Linked DNA regions of Saccharomyces cerevisiae S288C. The gene in region 2 interacts genetically with the main gene of each other region. Each region holds a gene or a part of one and is shown on either strand. Other genes may lie near its edges.

Evidence for each region.
Region 1: mutations in SRY1 (region 2) and YMR158C-A together harm fitness more than expected from each alone (negative genetic interaction), as found in Saccharomyces cerevisiae (2 studies listed by BioGRID).
Region 3: mutations in SRY1 (region 2) and YPL229W together harm fitness more than expected from each alone (negative genetic interaction), as found in Saccharomyces cerevisiae (2 studies listed by BioGRID).

What each region holds. Positions count from the first base shown.
Region 1 is NC_001145.3:572,694-576,194, forward strand, and holds YMR158C-A (uncharacterized protein), read right to left. Parts: upstream 639-3,501; coding exon 501-638; downstream 1-500. Other genes in the region: mitochondrial 37S ribosomal protein uS8m MRPS8, read left to right, coding at 1-22; ATG16 (Atg16p), read right to left, coding at 1,783-2,235; CVM1 (Cvm1p), read left to right, coding at 2,373-3,501.
Region 2 is NC_001143.9:15,283-21,432, reverse strand, and holds SRY1 (threo-3-hydroxy-L-aspartate ammonia-lyase SRY1), read left to right. Parts: upstream 1-3,093; coding exon 3,094-4,074; downstream 4,075-6,150. Other genes in the region: COS9 (Cos9p), read right to left, coding at 5,725-6,150. UniProt on the Saccharomyces cerevisiae protein: Catalyzes the deamination of L-threo-3-hydroxyaspartate to oxaloacetate and ammonia. Shows a high specificity towards L-threo-3-hydroxyaspartate as other 3-hydroxyaminoacids, i.e.
Region 3 is NC_001148.4:113,832-118,187, forward strand, and holds YPL229W (uncharacterized protein), read left to right. Parts: upstream 1-3,235; coding exon 3,236-3,856; downstream 3,857-4,356. Other genes in the region: trifunctional fatty acid synthase subunit FAS2, read left to right, coding at 1-484; USV1 (Usv1p), read left to right, coding at 1,481-2,656.

The sequences.
Region 1 (3,501 bases), on a different chromosome or scaffold from region 2:
AGTACTATGCAGAGTAAAATGAATAGAACAATCACATATGACCGTATTTATACGTGTAATTAAAAAATATACGGACCATGTAAATAATAATATTATAAAATGCAGACAATGATGATGAGTATAGTACTACAGTAACGTCCTTCATTCATTACCTTTACTAGCAGTGATAAAAAGTTTTGAAAAAAAATGTGCTCCAGGGGAGGTTCGAACTCTCGACCTTCAGATTATGAGACTGACGCTCTTCCTACTGAGCTACTGAAGCTGTCTGTTATGGAGGATTCTAGCATTAAATGCTTTAATACTCAATAAAAGCAACAATGGAGAATAATTTATCAGCAACTAAATTTATAGACGAAGATCCTACGCCAAATCTTAGCTCCTTTATATTTAATATTGAAAAACATATGAATTTTAGGTTGAATCCTCAAAATGGAATTGATATTTCTACATAATAGTACTACGATTATTCTTCACTCTGTTTTATATGTGTCATTATGTTATTACATTATCAATCCTTGCATTTCAGCTTCGTCTAACTTCCATGACAGTTTCTCATACCTTATGTCATCATCTAACACCGTACATGATAACATACTGGTAGTGTAACTACTAGTTGATAGATGATAGTTCATTTTCATTCCAACAATTGTCGTTAGAGATCGCTACATAATCAACCTTTGCACTTCAGCTTCCATTAAATCTGATTAATGCTTCTTAATCTTTAAGCCATCTTCTTGCACCATAAATAGCAATGAAACCATTTAGTCTTCTATTTTCCACTTAAAGAACCAGGTTTTTGCATTTCAGCCATCTTAAATTAGACGACGGTTTAATTTCGGTGTAGTATCATAAAATTTCGGCCATCCTTCGACTCACGTATAATGATGGCCTCAGCGAGAGGATCAGCAACAAGTTACATCCACAATAATACGCGGAGTTATGAGATATTACAGTACCCTCCCCAAAAATATAAGGTTTACCGCAAGATCGTATCAGGAGAATGAACGGGTCTCTTAGTTTTTATCCACTATTCTTTCCACTCACGCCAATATACTAACCAATTGAAATGCTCATAACCAGAATGAACAGGCCGCATGCATTCTTTAGCCAACTTTCGATGAAAATACCCACTATGCAATGGTAAATTTCCGAAACAAAAAATTATACTTCAGTGTTCCCACAAAATAACGATATGTTTCTTTTCATTTTTCAATGAAAGCATGATTTTTTCCCTTCCAATGCCAAAATGCTAGTCCTATAAATGAAAAAAAAAGCTTTCTGCTATAAGAACAGCAAGGGGCATTTCAACTTACACATAATAGAAGGTGAGATAAAGACCATCGTGAATCCTAATAGAAACTGCGGGTTTCTTAGGATCATGGGTCGCGCAAAACCGCCAAGTTTACCATCAAAAAGCTACAAAGTTCAATTTACCCAATAGAATTCTAACGCCAAAGATTTGTAGTGATTCATATGAAATTTTCTTTATGCATCCAGTTATTACTATTGAGTTTCTCTCAAGATACATTCTCCAAAAAAAAAGCCTGTTCTCGCACAAACGACCTTAAGAAAGGTTTAAAACAGCTGTCACATTACATTATAGTAGATAAAAACACGAATGGCATTTTCTTAACTTGCAGGTGTACTCTCTATAGCATGTTTAACATATTTTCACCTCTTTATTGCAAACACTTTGGCGTTTCATATTCTGTCCATGTATATGCACCACAATGATTTTATTTTCTTTTGTATGCATTTTGTGACGATTTGACAACTGATGCATCATTTCGTTCCATCTATTTCGCTGTTCATGGCTTCTGTCTCTTTCTCTGTCTTTTTTAGCCATCTCGCAACTAGCTGGGAATGTTCTTTTTTCAGATCCGAGAGTTTTTGTTGTAAAACATTATTTTCAATGGTTCCACTAATCAATTCGTCATTCAACCTTTCCGTATTCTTATTTTTCAACGCAATAACTTCTTTCAATCTTCGTATTTCTTGCTCCTTACTTTTCAGTTCTTTTTGTAGAATTGCCAGTGTATTCAATAAAGCATCGTCATGGCTGACAATGTTGCCACCAATGGCGCCACTATTATCTTGAAACAACTCATTTAAATGGGCCTCCTTGTCGTTTCGATCTGTTAGTCTACGAATTAACAAATCATCCATGCTATCTGTTTGTGGATTGCTTCTTTCCTCCTTTGCTTTCTTCCTTTCTGTTATAATGAAATTGCCCATGGAATATGCGCCCTTAATACAGATTCGCGCAGGTTAATAACAAAAATCAACGTTAAATAAAGGTCAACTACAAACAGAATAAGTAAAAGCGAGCAAGTGTAGTAGCAATTTAGCACAACATATAAAACGCTATTATAATGGATGTTGTGCAGCAGAAACAGGATAAACAGTTGCAGCATCAAACACAAGAGCAGCAGCAGATACGAGAGGACCAGCAGGAAGTCCCACCCCAACGTCCACGACAACAAAACAGATGGAAACCCTGGTGGAATTCCACTGCCGACGATGAGCCAAACACGGGAAGAATTGCAGAATATCCTAATGGACAAGGAAGGAGTAGTCCGACAACGGATTTTCAAGATAGCGTGAACTCGAATAATGACAATAAAGGGATATGGTCTAAAATCGCTTCTTTTGCAACATCCAGATATAGAAGTGCCCCAATTGTTGTTGATGATAATACCCGCTACTCTCAACTAAACACTGAACAAATCAACTTCTTGGAAAATGAGGCTAAGGATATAATTTCAAAAAAGTCGAAATCATGGTGTTGGTACGAAGCAATTCCACATATATCAAATTCATCAAACATAATTGATTCCATAGATACCCCAGGAATAATCAGTGTCTCTGGTACAGGATCAGCCAAATGCCCATTGCCATTAAACAAATATCCTGGGGAGGGAGGTAACCCTGGGTATAATGTATTTATTAATGATTCTTTAATCCTACCATCAGATAACCCTTTGAATTTTCTGCACGTCCAACCACTAAGAACTAAGGTATTGAATACTATCAAAAATTACTATAACTTCCCTAATGAGCAACATCTCTATTTAAGACAAAAAAAAACCGCATTACTGAAGGATAAGAGAATTATTATAATATCCGTCGTGGGGGATTTACCAGAAAAGTATGAGCAGCGCTCATTAGAATCACAAAGATCGGCTTATTATCTTTCTAGAAAATTGTCACAAAATCTAGCGCAAGAACAACCTCAAAGAGTCTTGACCCTATCGTTCCAGTGCCCACTGCATAATCAAGATTTAATACCTACATATAAAGAATGTGTAGAGTTACTGAACCACTGGGCTCATCTTTTCAAAGAGGTAGATTCAATTTTTTTTGTGGGCGTTTATCACAGCGTTCCCTTAACTTTGCTATTAGCGAAATATATCGTGCAAAATAATGAAGTTCTAGAGTTTGATGAAAACACTACAGTGAGTGTATTGAGTTTCCAGTCATGTTTACAAGGCTATCGATTTT
Region 2 (6,150 bases):
TCTATTGCAAAAATGTACAGTGGAATGTAAAAACAGTGGGGACAAACCTGTGGAACACTAAGCGTGGGGGTCCATCCACTTAAACTAAATCGTATTGTTTAAAAGTGTGCAAGCATTGCGATAACGTTCGATTAGACTCTGAATGGAAGACAATGAGTTGATTTTGCTACCAGCAAAAAAAATAATTTATAAACACATTATTCTTGCAATATTTTTCATACTGTGCGTTTATACCTTTTGAAAATTATAGATCCATTTATATATTAATTAACATCCGAAACAAAAGGAAAGTGCGAGGACCGGCCCACCCGATGACTAACGGGAAAGTGGACATGATTTGCCATTTGTACGGGTAATATTTACATATTATTTGATGTGCTTCTTTGGATTGTGTGCAATCACTTACTTCACAGTGTCTATGTAAGAGATGTGAGAGTGTAGCTCGGAAGGTGGAGACATCTCCTAGATCTTGTCTGGCTTCGTTGGGGTAGCCATGAGAAGTTTTCCATTCCCCCGGGTCATGCATGCTGCCCGAGTCAAATAGCGTTTAACTTTGACTCGTACGCCATAATAGGTTATGTTTTATCTTTGGTCAGGGACCCCAGTATTGAGAAAGTAACCTAGGGATGCTACGCCCCAGCTTTACTACGTGGATGATACAGTAAGCACATACATATTGACGGCATCTAATCGTTCTAAACGGAAAAATAGGCGCTGATTTGATCCACTTCGGTTAGGTAACCGCTGATGCCAACGATCTAGGGCCCTTCCATTTTAGGAAAAAGGGTATATACTCTGATGCCCTGTCTGGCCGAACATTCGTATATGTGGATGTATCGTGATCCGTTCGTATTCAATAAAAGTGTAACGATCTCATCTCAAGTCAAAAGTGAGAAGGGAATAACTAAAAAAGAAAAACTGATATTTTGACGTGACGTGGTTTATTAGCAAGTATGTTTCAACCATTCTCAGCGTAAACCCTATCACAATAACGTCTCTATGAAAAGTTTAACATTTTGTCTATCTCGGTTCAATCAGTTGAATAGCGAACCTTATAGCAAATAGCATTTTCAATAAAAATGTGACATACAGACTTCCACTTTTCTTGCTTTTCTCATGCTCTGTGTGATGCTACTGTTACCGCGGCACCACATTTTGGCATACGTCGGGACATTGGCGGCTGAATAGATTATACCCGTCGCCCTTTTTTCATCTCTCCTTTTCTTTTTGTCGTAAGCAAATTACAGAATTGAATATTTGAATAACCCTAAAAAAAATGCCACTCCCCTAAAAACAAACCAGATTAAGTTGCAAGAAATAGACTGATTGGAACATACGGGTCCTATTCAGTGCTCAATAAAAATTAAAATAATGTGATCAAACAACCCGAGACTATTCTTGAATTAGCATTAGCCACTATAAATTTTAACATTTTTCAGAGTCTTTCGTGCGGAGACCGTAAATATTAGCATTGACCTTGTCAATGAAGTAATTGTCTTTGATTTTAACCGTGTTAAAGATTTCGCAAAAGAGAAAGCTTGCTGGCTTGGAGCAGTAACTTTTTTTGATTTTTTTTTACAAGCACACATGCTTTTGCCTTTAGAATATTACGGCTCCTCATGTGGATAGTAAAAACTTGACCGTTGCATCTGTTCTCCTTCGAACAAAGAATAAATCGTCTGAAAAATCACATAGAAAAATAATAGAAAAATAAAAAACATAGTAACATATTTTAAAAGAGACCTTTTATTGAAGAAAATTTGGCGATAAAAATGATTATAACATTGAAATGACGAAGAAAAGGACAGTGCCCGAATTCTCGATTCCAATAAAAGGCGAAAAATTACAATCGCCAGCATGTTTGGTACGGGGCGACTCGTGGCATTTTAAAGTACGCTGGCATGTTTAAAGGTATTAGTGTTCTTGGCGTGGAAAGTGCAGGTGTCTCACTTTTTAGAACGAACAAATTCAAACAATATACAACAATCCGCCGAAAACATTCCAGAAATTAAGATTGTTAAGCACTTTTGCTAAGAAAAAAAAAGGGCTCTCCCCTGTGAATTAACTCAAAGGTAGCGTGTTCTGCCTATGCAAGGTGACCGTTTTTGCAGATATTGTAGTGAGATGCTCTACAAAAGGGGTTTCCTAATCTAATCTTTTACCATATCAAAAATGCCCTAATATTATTATTAAAGAGCTATCAAAGCCTGATTCCTTAGGTATATGACTAGTTCCCGAATTAATGGCATTGATTCATTACTTATTTTATTAGGGGGATGATAAAAATAATGATATCTTTTTCTGCAGCGTCATTTAAGTACTGATTGAGACTGACAGTTGTGATAGAGATATTAAGTAGTAGAAACGGTCCATGAATTGTTCTTTGTTAATATTCTTGCTGAGGGAGGCTTTTCTTTTGGGCTGCTATGCTTTCATTCTACTTAAGCAACGAGATAGGAAGCTTCAAAAGGTGAATGGTGAAATGCTGAAGAAGATTTCGTCATTCCAATCCTCGAGAGTGCGACGTAAGTAGTGACTCTAATGAATTTTCTATGCCTCATAAAGCTTGAGGTATATTTATCCATACGCAAATAATACACGATCTAGGATTATTGTAGTATGTTATTGTTTGACAATATCCTTGGACAAGTTCTAATCACTTATATTTCCCAAACATGATTCGTGTATTTTGGCGTTAGAAAACGACGGCAAGTAAGCTCCCAACATTTACTTGACGAGTTTTTTGTCACTATCATCACGCCCTAGAGCCAAGTTATATTTTTATCGTAAATTCTGTAAATTAACAGTCATTCTAAGCAGGTTGTTTTAATATTTACAGGTAACTTGGCTGACTTCTTTTAAATGTGGCTTCTATGACAAAAAAACTGAAAAAAATGACTAATTAGTAAATTCAGCCTCTTATCATAAAATCAGGGTCTATAGGACGGTACGTGAGAAAAAGATAAGCTTTGGAATATAAAGAGTTACATTTTCATTCTGCAAAAATTCAAATAAAGGAGTATTGAAAAAAAACTTAAAAAGTACAAATAATTAATATAGTTCGAGATATTTAGTTTTCATTGAGTTGGAAAAATGATTGTTCCCACTTATGGAGACGTTTTGGATGCCAGCAACAGAATTAAAGAATATGTAAATAAAACACCGGTTCTCACTTCACGAATGCTTAATGATCGACTTGGAGCACAAATATACTTTAAAGGTGAGAATTTCCAACGAGTGGGAGCGTTCAAGTTTCGTGGAGCAATGAATGCTGTTTCAAAATTAAGTGATGAAAAAAGAAGTAAGGGAGTAATTGCCTTCTCATCAGGAAACCATGCACAGGCTATTGCTCTTAGTGCAAAACTATTAAATGTACCTGCAACAATTGTTATGCCCGAGGATGCGCCCGCCCTTAAAGTTGCTGCTACAGCCGGTTACGGAGCACATATCATAAGGTATAACAGGTATACTGAAGATCGCGAGCAGATTGGGCGTCAACTAGCAGCCGAACATGGTTTTGCATTGATTCCGCCCTACGATCATCCTGATGTTATTGCAGGGCAAGGTACGTCGGCAAAAGAGCTATTAGAAGAGGTTGGACAACTTGATGCATTATTTGTTCCTTTGGGCGGTGGTGGGCTCCTTTCAGGATCTGCACTTGCCGCTAGAAGCCTTTCTCCAGGCTGCAAAATTTTTGGGGTTGAACCTGAAGCTGGTAACGATGGACAACAATCCTTCAGATCGGGTTCCATTGTTCATATCAATACGCCAAAAACTATCGCAGATGGCGCTCAAACACAACACCTCGGTGAGTACACATTTGCCATTATTCGCGAAAATGTCGATGATATTTTAACGGTTAGCGACCAAGAGCTAGTAAAATGCATGCACTTTCTTGCGGAACGCATGAAGGTGGTTGTTGAGCCCACAGCTTGTTTGGGATTTGCAGGTGCACTTCTAAAAAAGGAAGAGCTAGTTGGGAAGAAAGTAGGCATAATACTAAGTGGAGGTAATGTAGACATGAAGAGATATGCTACTTTAATCTCTGGGAAGGAAGATGGCCCAACGATTTAGTGTATACTTTTGAATTTTGAGTTCAGTTTTATAGTGAAGAATTGGAAAGCTTTAGTTGTCTACTTTCACACGGCATATATCATTTGACTTAACATTAATAACATGGTTGAGATTTTGAAGTGAGTTCAGCAAAAAAAGCCTCTAGCTGATTTATACTCTGATAACTCTACATATTTTTCTACTAGTATTATATTTCACTGAACTGACACCCTTATGTGGGAAAATTTTTTGGCAGAATGATAGTGTGTGAGAGGGAAGAATACTGCTTATGTCAAACTAATAATATAACTTCTGACTGTGACTATGAGCATTACTGGTATATTAGTTTCTTTTGCATATTTTGAACTAAAACAGAAGAGCGTTCCTAGGCTTACACCCAGTAAAGACATAGCTTCTAAGTTGAAAAAACATATCTCTACTTCAATTAAAGGTAACTGTCATAATGTCCTATTTTATACGCAGAAAAAATTCTCTTTTCCACACACAATATCGTCTGCTCTTATTACTAATCAATCGAGATCTTGCATGAAGATATTTATGGTCCACAGGAAAGGATAAGCCTCTATTTTAAGGAATTATTACCTAACCAAGACCAAAACTGTAGAAATCCTCCTAAATTTAGTTCTTCACTTTTTTTTGATAATCATAATATGTGTCAAGATATTCGCAGCAGCCACATATATGAATACCAAGTTATTCAACAATTGAGTTTTAAAGAGCAACCCTGAAGGATAAATTAGTGTTTTACATTATATCCGTAGGAAAAAAATATGGCGATATACGTGACAGATCCCACAAACAATAAAGCATCAAGCAAGGTCACCAGGTCAGTTCTACCGCAGAAATTAACGATGTATTACTTAGTGCTCTTTTGTAGCAATAAATTCGCGTGAAATACTCAACACATGTATTGATATAACTTTCAACATGTTCCCTTGATTAACAGTAGACGGGAAAAGAGTTACATGGTTATGTTCAAAATGGATAGTTATGACCAGTACCAACTAACACTCAATATTCTTTTATGATTTGGAAGATCAAACTGTTGCACAATCAATTGGATTATAGTTTCTCTATTTCATTAATTATTATAACAACAAATTAAGTGAATTAAATATTGAAATATTATAATATAATCAGTTAATGGGTTTGACAATAACCATTTTTAATAATATTAGGAAAAGTAAGTATTAGGTTATTATTTATTTAATAATTTGAAAATTAAATAAATTAATATAATCTTATCATTTTTATTTATATATTATTTTATTATCATATTATTATTATTTATTATTTCTATATTATAATTTTTTTAAATTTTTATATCGTATAAATATTGATAAAATATAATTATTAATAATAAATTACAACATTTAAATAATATAAATAATTGAACTATTTTATAATAAAATATAAAAAGAATAAAAATTTCTTCTTTTTATATTTTATAAATATTACTATTTATTGCAATTTATTCTTATATTCATATTTTTTTGTTATTATTATTTATTTCTGTTAATATACTGGTTTTTGTTAACCAGAGGGGAATAGGAAAAAGAATAGTTGTAATAATAATAATAAGCGACCTTGTTTAGGCTATTCGCATCTAATAAACTACACGATCTATAAATTGAAAAGGCATGCTTGTTCCTACACGGGAGGCGCCTGTTTGCGGGTCAATTGCGCTTCTTTAATGTATGGCCATAGTTCCACGTTTAGAGGTCTATCAAACATAGGTTTCTTTGTAGATAGAAGGCGGTAAAAGAAGTGGTTAAAAAACCATTCACAGTCAATCCCATCAAAGAAAAACTCTTCACTAGTCCAGACTTTTTTCTCAAACAAGTACCTGTTCATTTTCTTTGCAATTTCGTCCCATCCATTCGCACCACTTTCTTGCTCATTTATAATCGTTGACAAGAACTGCATTTTGTCTTCCATGTGCATGGAAAAGGGCCTCATATTTTGAAAAACTCTTACCATAAGGAGAAAACCTCCCCCACAACACAAGATACGAAATAGATGGCCCTTATCCCATGACACATAGATACAAGCCAGAAACAGAATAAATGCTGGAAA
Region 3 (4,356 bases), on a different chromosome or scaffold from region 2:
ATCAGGCTCCTTGACTTTCAACTCTAAAAACATCCAAAGCAAGGACAGTTACATCAATGCTAACACCATTGAAACTGCCAAGATGATTGAAAACATGACCAAGGAGAAAGTCTCTAACGGTGGCGTCGGTGTAGATGTTGAATTAATCACTAGCATCAACGTTGAAAATGATACTTTTATCGAGCGCAATTTCACCCCGCAAGAAATAGAGTACTGCAGCGCGCAGCCTAGTGTGCAAAGCTCTTTCGCTGGGACATGGTCCGCCAAAGAGGCTGTTTTCAAGTCCTTAGGCGTCAAGTCCTTAGGCGGTGGTGCTGCATTGAAAGACATCGAAATCGTACGCGTTAACAAAAACGCTCCAGCCGTTGAACTGCACGGTAACGCCAAAAAGGCTGCCGAAGAAGCTGGTGTTACCGATGTGAAGGTATCTATTTCTCACGATGACCTCCAAGCTGTCGCGGTCGCCGTTTCTACTAAGAAATAGAGAGAGCACTACGTAGTCCCTCTTTTAATATGTAACGTGTCGCTTCTATTTATCAGACATAATAGTAATTACTTTGTTATTTTTCTATCGTTTCCTTACTTTAGCCTCTGATTTCGATCTGGCCTAATCATTGTGTACGTCTATAATCATATGGCCCTGAGCGTACACACCGTTCAATTCTTCTATTTGGTCGGCCCACACAAATTCGCGCGGGGGCATATTGACGCGTGGAAGAATAGAAGTCCGCGTAGCAGCTCTGGGGTAATTAGGCTTTTACGATATCGGCTGGCCCAGCACCGGTTTTTATTCCTCCCGTGGTTGTTGTCTCTACCGTGAGGAGGGGAAAGGGTCAGGGACGGCCGGTAGTTATGTTGTCTCAACGATTACTGCCATCTATTGTTTACACCAATCGCGTGGGGCAAGGGGCTGGAAGGCTGTGGTGTACAGAATAGGGTCTAATACCCGATGCGCGACGCTCCTGCGACTGGTTGTGTGAGCCACCCCTTGATCGCCTCTGCCAAATACTCAGGGAAGAGAAAAATCGCGAAGGTGGACGAGTGCCCTTAAAGAACCAGCATCCTCGATCGCCGCTGCCGTTCGCCCTGGCTTAGCGGTGGGAAGCATCCTTTGGCTTTCGAATTCTCCGCCGTTGAGTCCCCCTAAGGGCCTTATTTATCCCCTCTATTTTTTTTTAGAAAATGTTTTCTTTTTCAAGATTTGTTTGCTCCTTCACGGCTTCCCCCTTAACCGTTCAACAGTCTTCCGTATATAACAATCTCAATCCACTCTTATTGCCTATAATTTTGATTAATTCTTATTCATCCCGGCAGATAAAGTTTCGTCTTGTTTTGAAAGAGACAGGAGTTCTTGGCTGCAGTATTTTGCAACAGCTTCATTAACCATGTATGTAAAGAAAAAATCTGGAGCGACTTACTGGCTTAGCTTTTTTTACTAACACATAAATAATACTGTGATAAGATAAGAAAAAAACACGAAATGGAAAATACCACGAATCGTAATACTGCAGGCGTTCTTACGAGCAGCAATGGTAACTTTGCCACCAATAGTGTAGCGGCATCAACTCCGAAGAGGTCCAAAAGTGCTCGAAGGAAAACGTTCAAATGCACCGGATATGACGGTTGTACGATGTCCTTCACTAGAGCGGAACATCTTGCACGTCATATAAGAAAGCACACTGGTGAAAAGCCGTTCCAGTGTCCTGCATGTTTGAAATTCTTCAGTAGAGTTGATAATTTGAAACAGCATCGGGAATCGGTCCATGCACATAAAAACCACCATTCTACCAGCTCGCACCAGCGTAAGCCTTCCTCTTCATCTTTATCCTCCTCTTCTTCTGCATCTTCTTCGTCTTCTGCTTCATCATCTACATCATATAGTGATCCTTACAGGAAAACTAATATTAATAGCGGGAACATGCCGATGATGGCAGAAAACGAAAAAGCGCCCCAAATAATACATTCTTCGCCGGAGTTCATTACTAGCACGAGAAGCATCCCACCCATCTCTCCAAGGTCCATTTATAATACCCAACGACAGCAACAACACCAACAACAACAGCATCAACAGGCTCCCTATTATTTTCCTTCCCATCCAATCACTGATAGTTACTACCAGTATCCTCTTCCCAGTAATAATAACACCATCAATTATTTACCATCAGTAGATGTGCAGTATCCTTTGAATGTGAGCCCCTCCTCAACGAGCCATCCGGCCTCTGAGGTAATCATATCGTCCTTTCCTCCGAGGTCCATGCCAAGTACTTCCTTCAAATATAAAGATTCTGCCGACTTTCAAGCACGGACAACTATGAACAAATACAATATTAGACCAAGCAATATCAATGTCAATACTAGTAATATCAATAACCATCTTGATTCATTCTCCCCGCCGTTTTCTCCGTCAACGACAGTTGCTGAAGCAAAACCAATTATTTTACCACAGTATCAGCAGGCATTTAGCCAACCACCAAATGGAAATAAAAACAATAATATGTCTTCCTCGAAGAATGGCGGCAAAGGGGGAGAAAATTTCAAGAATACTGATGATCGCAATGATAATAATAACAAAAAGAGGTCGGAAACTTTATCAGAGTCTGATATTTCGGTCAACACCAATAAGAAAAGGCTTAGTGTTGATTACATATTGACTTGATCGAGGCAATCTGATCTAAGTTTCAAATATTCCGTAGAGTATAAATATCTTACAACTAATATAATTCTTAATATGCGCAAACAAATTATGGTGCGCATCTTTTTTTATTTTTATGTTTTGTTCCATACTAAATGCAGTTTATAAAATTTTTCAAATGAGTCAAGCTATGTATAATCAGTGCTACAAAAATGATAAGATGCAATTGCAAGAAAAAATCCCTTGCATAAAGGGCTTTCTGACCTCTTGCGTTGATCAACGAGAAATAACCGCAAAACTTAATTTTAAACTCCCGCGTCTGCTTTACACAGCCCACAGTAGCATCAAAAACTACGATGTAACACTAACGGTGGATTGTGAATACGGAACGAACAATCCTGCATCTTGACTTCAAAACTTGATCATATACACCTATACCGCCATGGTTATCTCGCCCTTACGCTCACCCGGACCCCCGTTAATTGCAATAATAAGAAAAAGAAAAGAAAGAAGCTTTTTATCTCATTTCACTGACAAGATGACGCTTTTTCCGATTTTAGCAGATAAACTATCACATATAACCACTTTTTTATATTACATGAAATGATGCCCTACAACACCCCTCCAAATATCCAAGAACCTATGAACTTCGCAAGCAGCAACCCCTTTGGTATTATTCCAGATGCGCTCAGTTTCCAGAATTTCAAATATGATCGTCTTCAGCAGCAGCAACAGCAGCAGCAACAGCAGCAACAAAATCGCACTGCGTCATCGTTACAGCAGCCGCAACAGCAACAACCAATAAGCCCGCCTTTGTTTTTAGTAGGGGCCGGTACCAGCGAAAACTCAAACCTTAACAAGAATGCCAACACTAGTACTATCCCTCCTTTACTCTTTAGCAGATCGTCTCAGCATTATGTTGTCCCAGATATAGACCACTCCTCCATAATATACAAGAACAACATCTGCAAATCTTTCAAAGATGACTTATTTTTCTGTCCAAGATCTTTACTTTCTCTCGAAGAACAACAAGCATGCGAGAAAATGGATAGGCTGACCGCTGAACAAATGTCATTGTATCATCAGAACACGCAATCCAGTTCTAATCCTGGTTCTATGTCTTCTTCACCTCCAAATTCTGCTTCTTCTATATTCAACTCTAGGCCGAAGTTCAATCCTTATACATCTCAAAGTTTTAATCCTTTGGAAAGTGTTCAAGAATGATCGCGATATGGACAAACACGTTGTTTTGATTTCTTTTTTGCATATTCCTCATTTGAACAAATCTTGTGTCCATGTTATGTTACGTTATGTTATATTATGTCAAGCCGTTTCATTTCCTACTTATTTTTAATTATCGGTTTCTTCTATTCATGTAGTTCACTATTCAATTAGTATATGTAGATAAAAGGAGAAGGGTTTTATCTGCAAACAGACGCAAGACGTATGTACTAAGCACTAAATACTCATATAACCATATTCTTTCAAAAATACATGCCATTTTTCTGTTTCATAATAATCCTGGAGGCTACAAGTATGGTGATATAATAAATCTTGAACCTTGTTTTACTGGAACTCCTAAAGTCAAGCCATACATAATGCCAGAAACAGGACCTGCGTAGATAACATATAACATGTACCAGTCATGATTACCCAACGTGCCGTTACAAATGATATATAGACCTACATTTTAGTTAGTTTCGTCGTAAGTTATGGTAATAAAG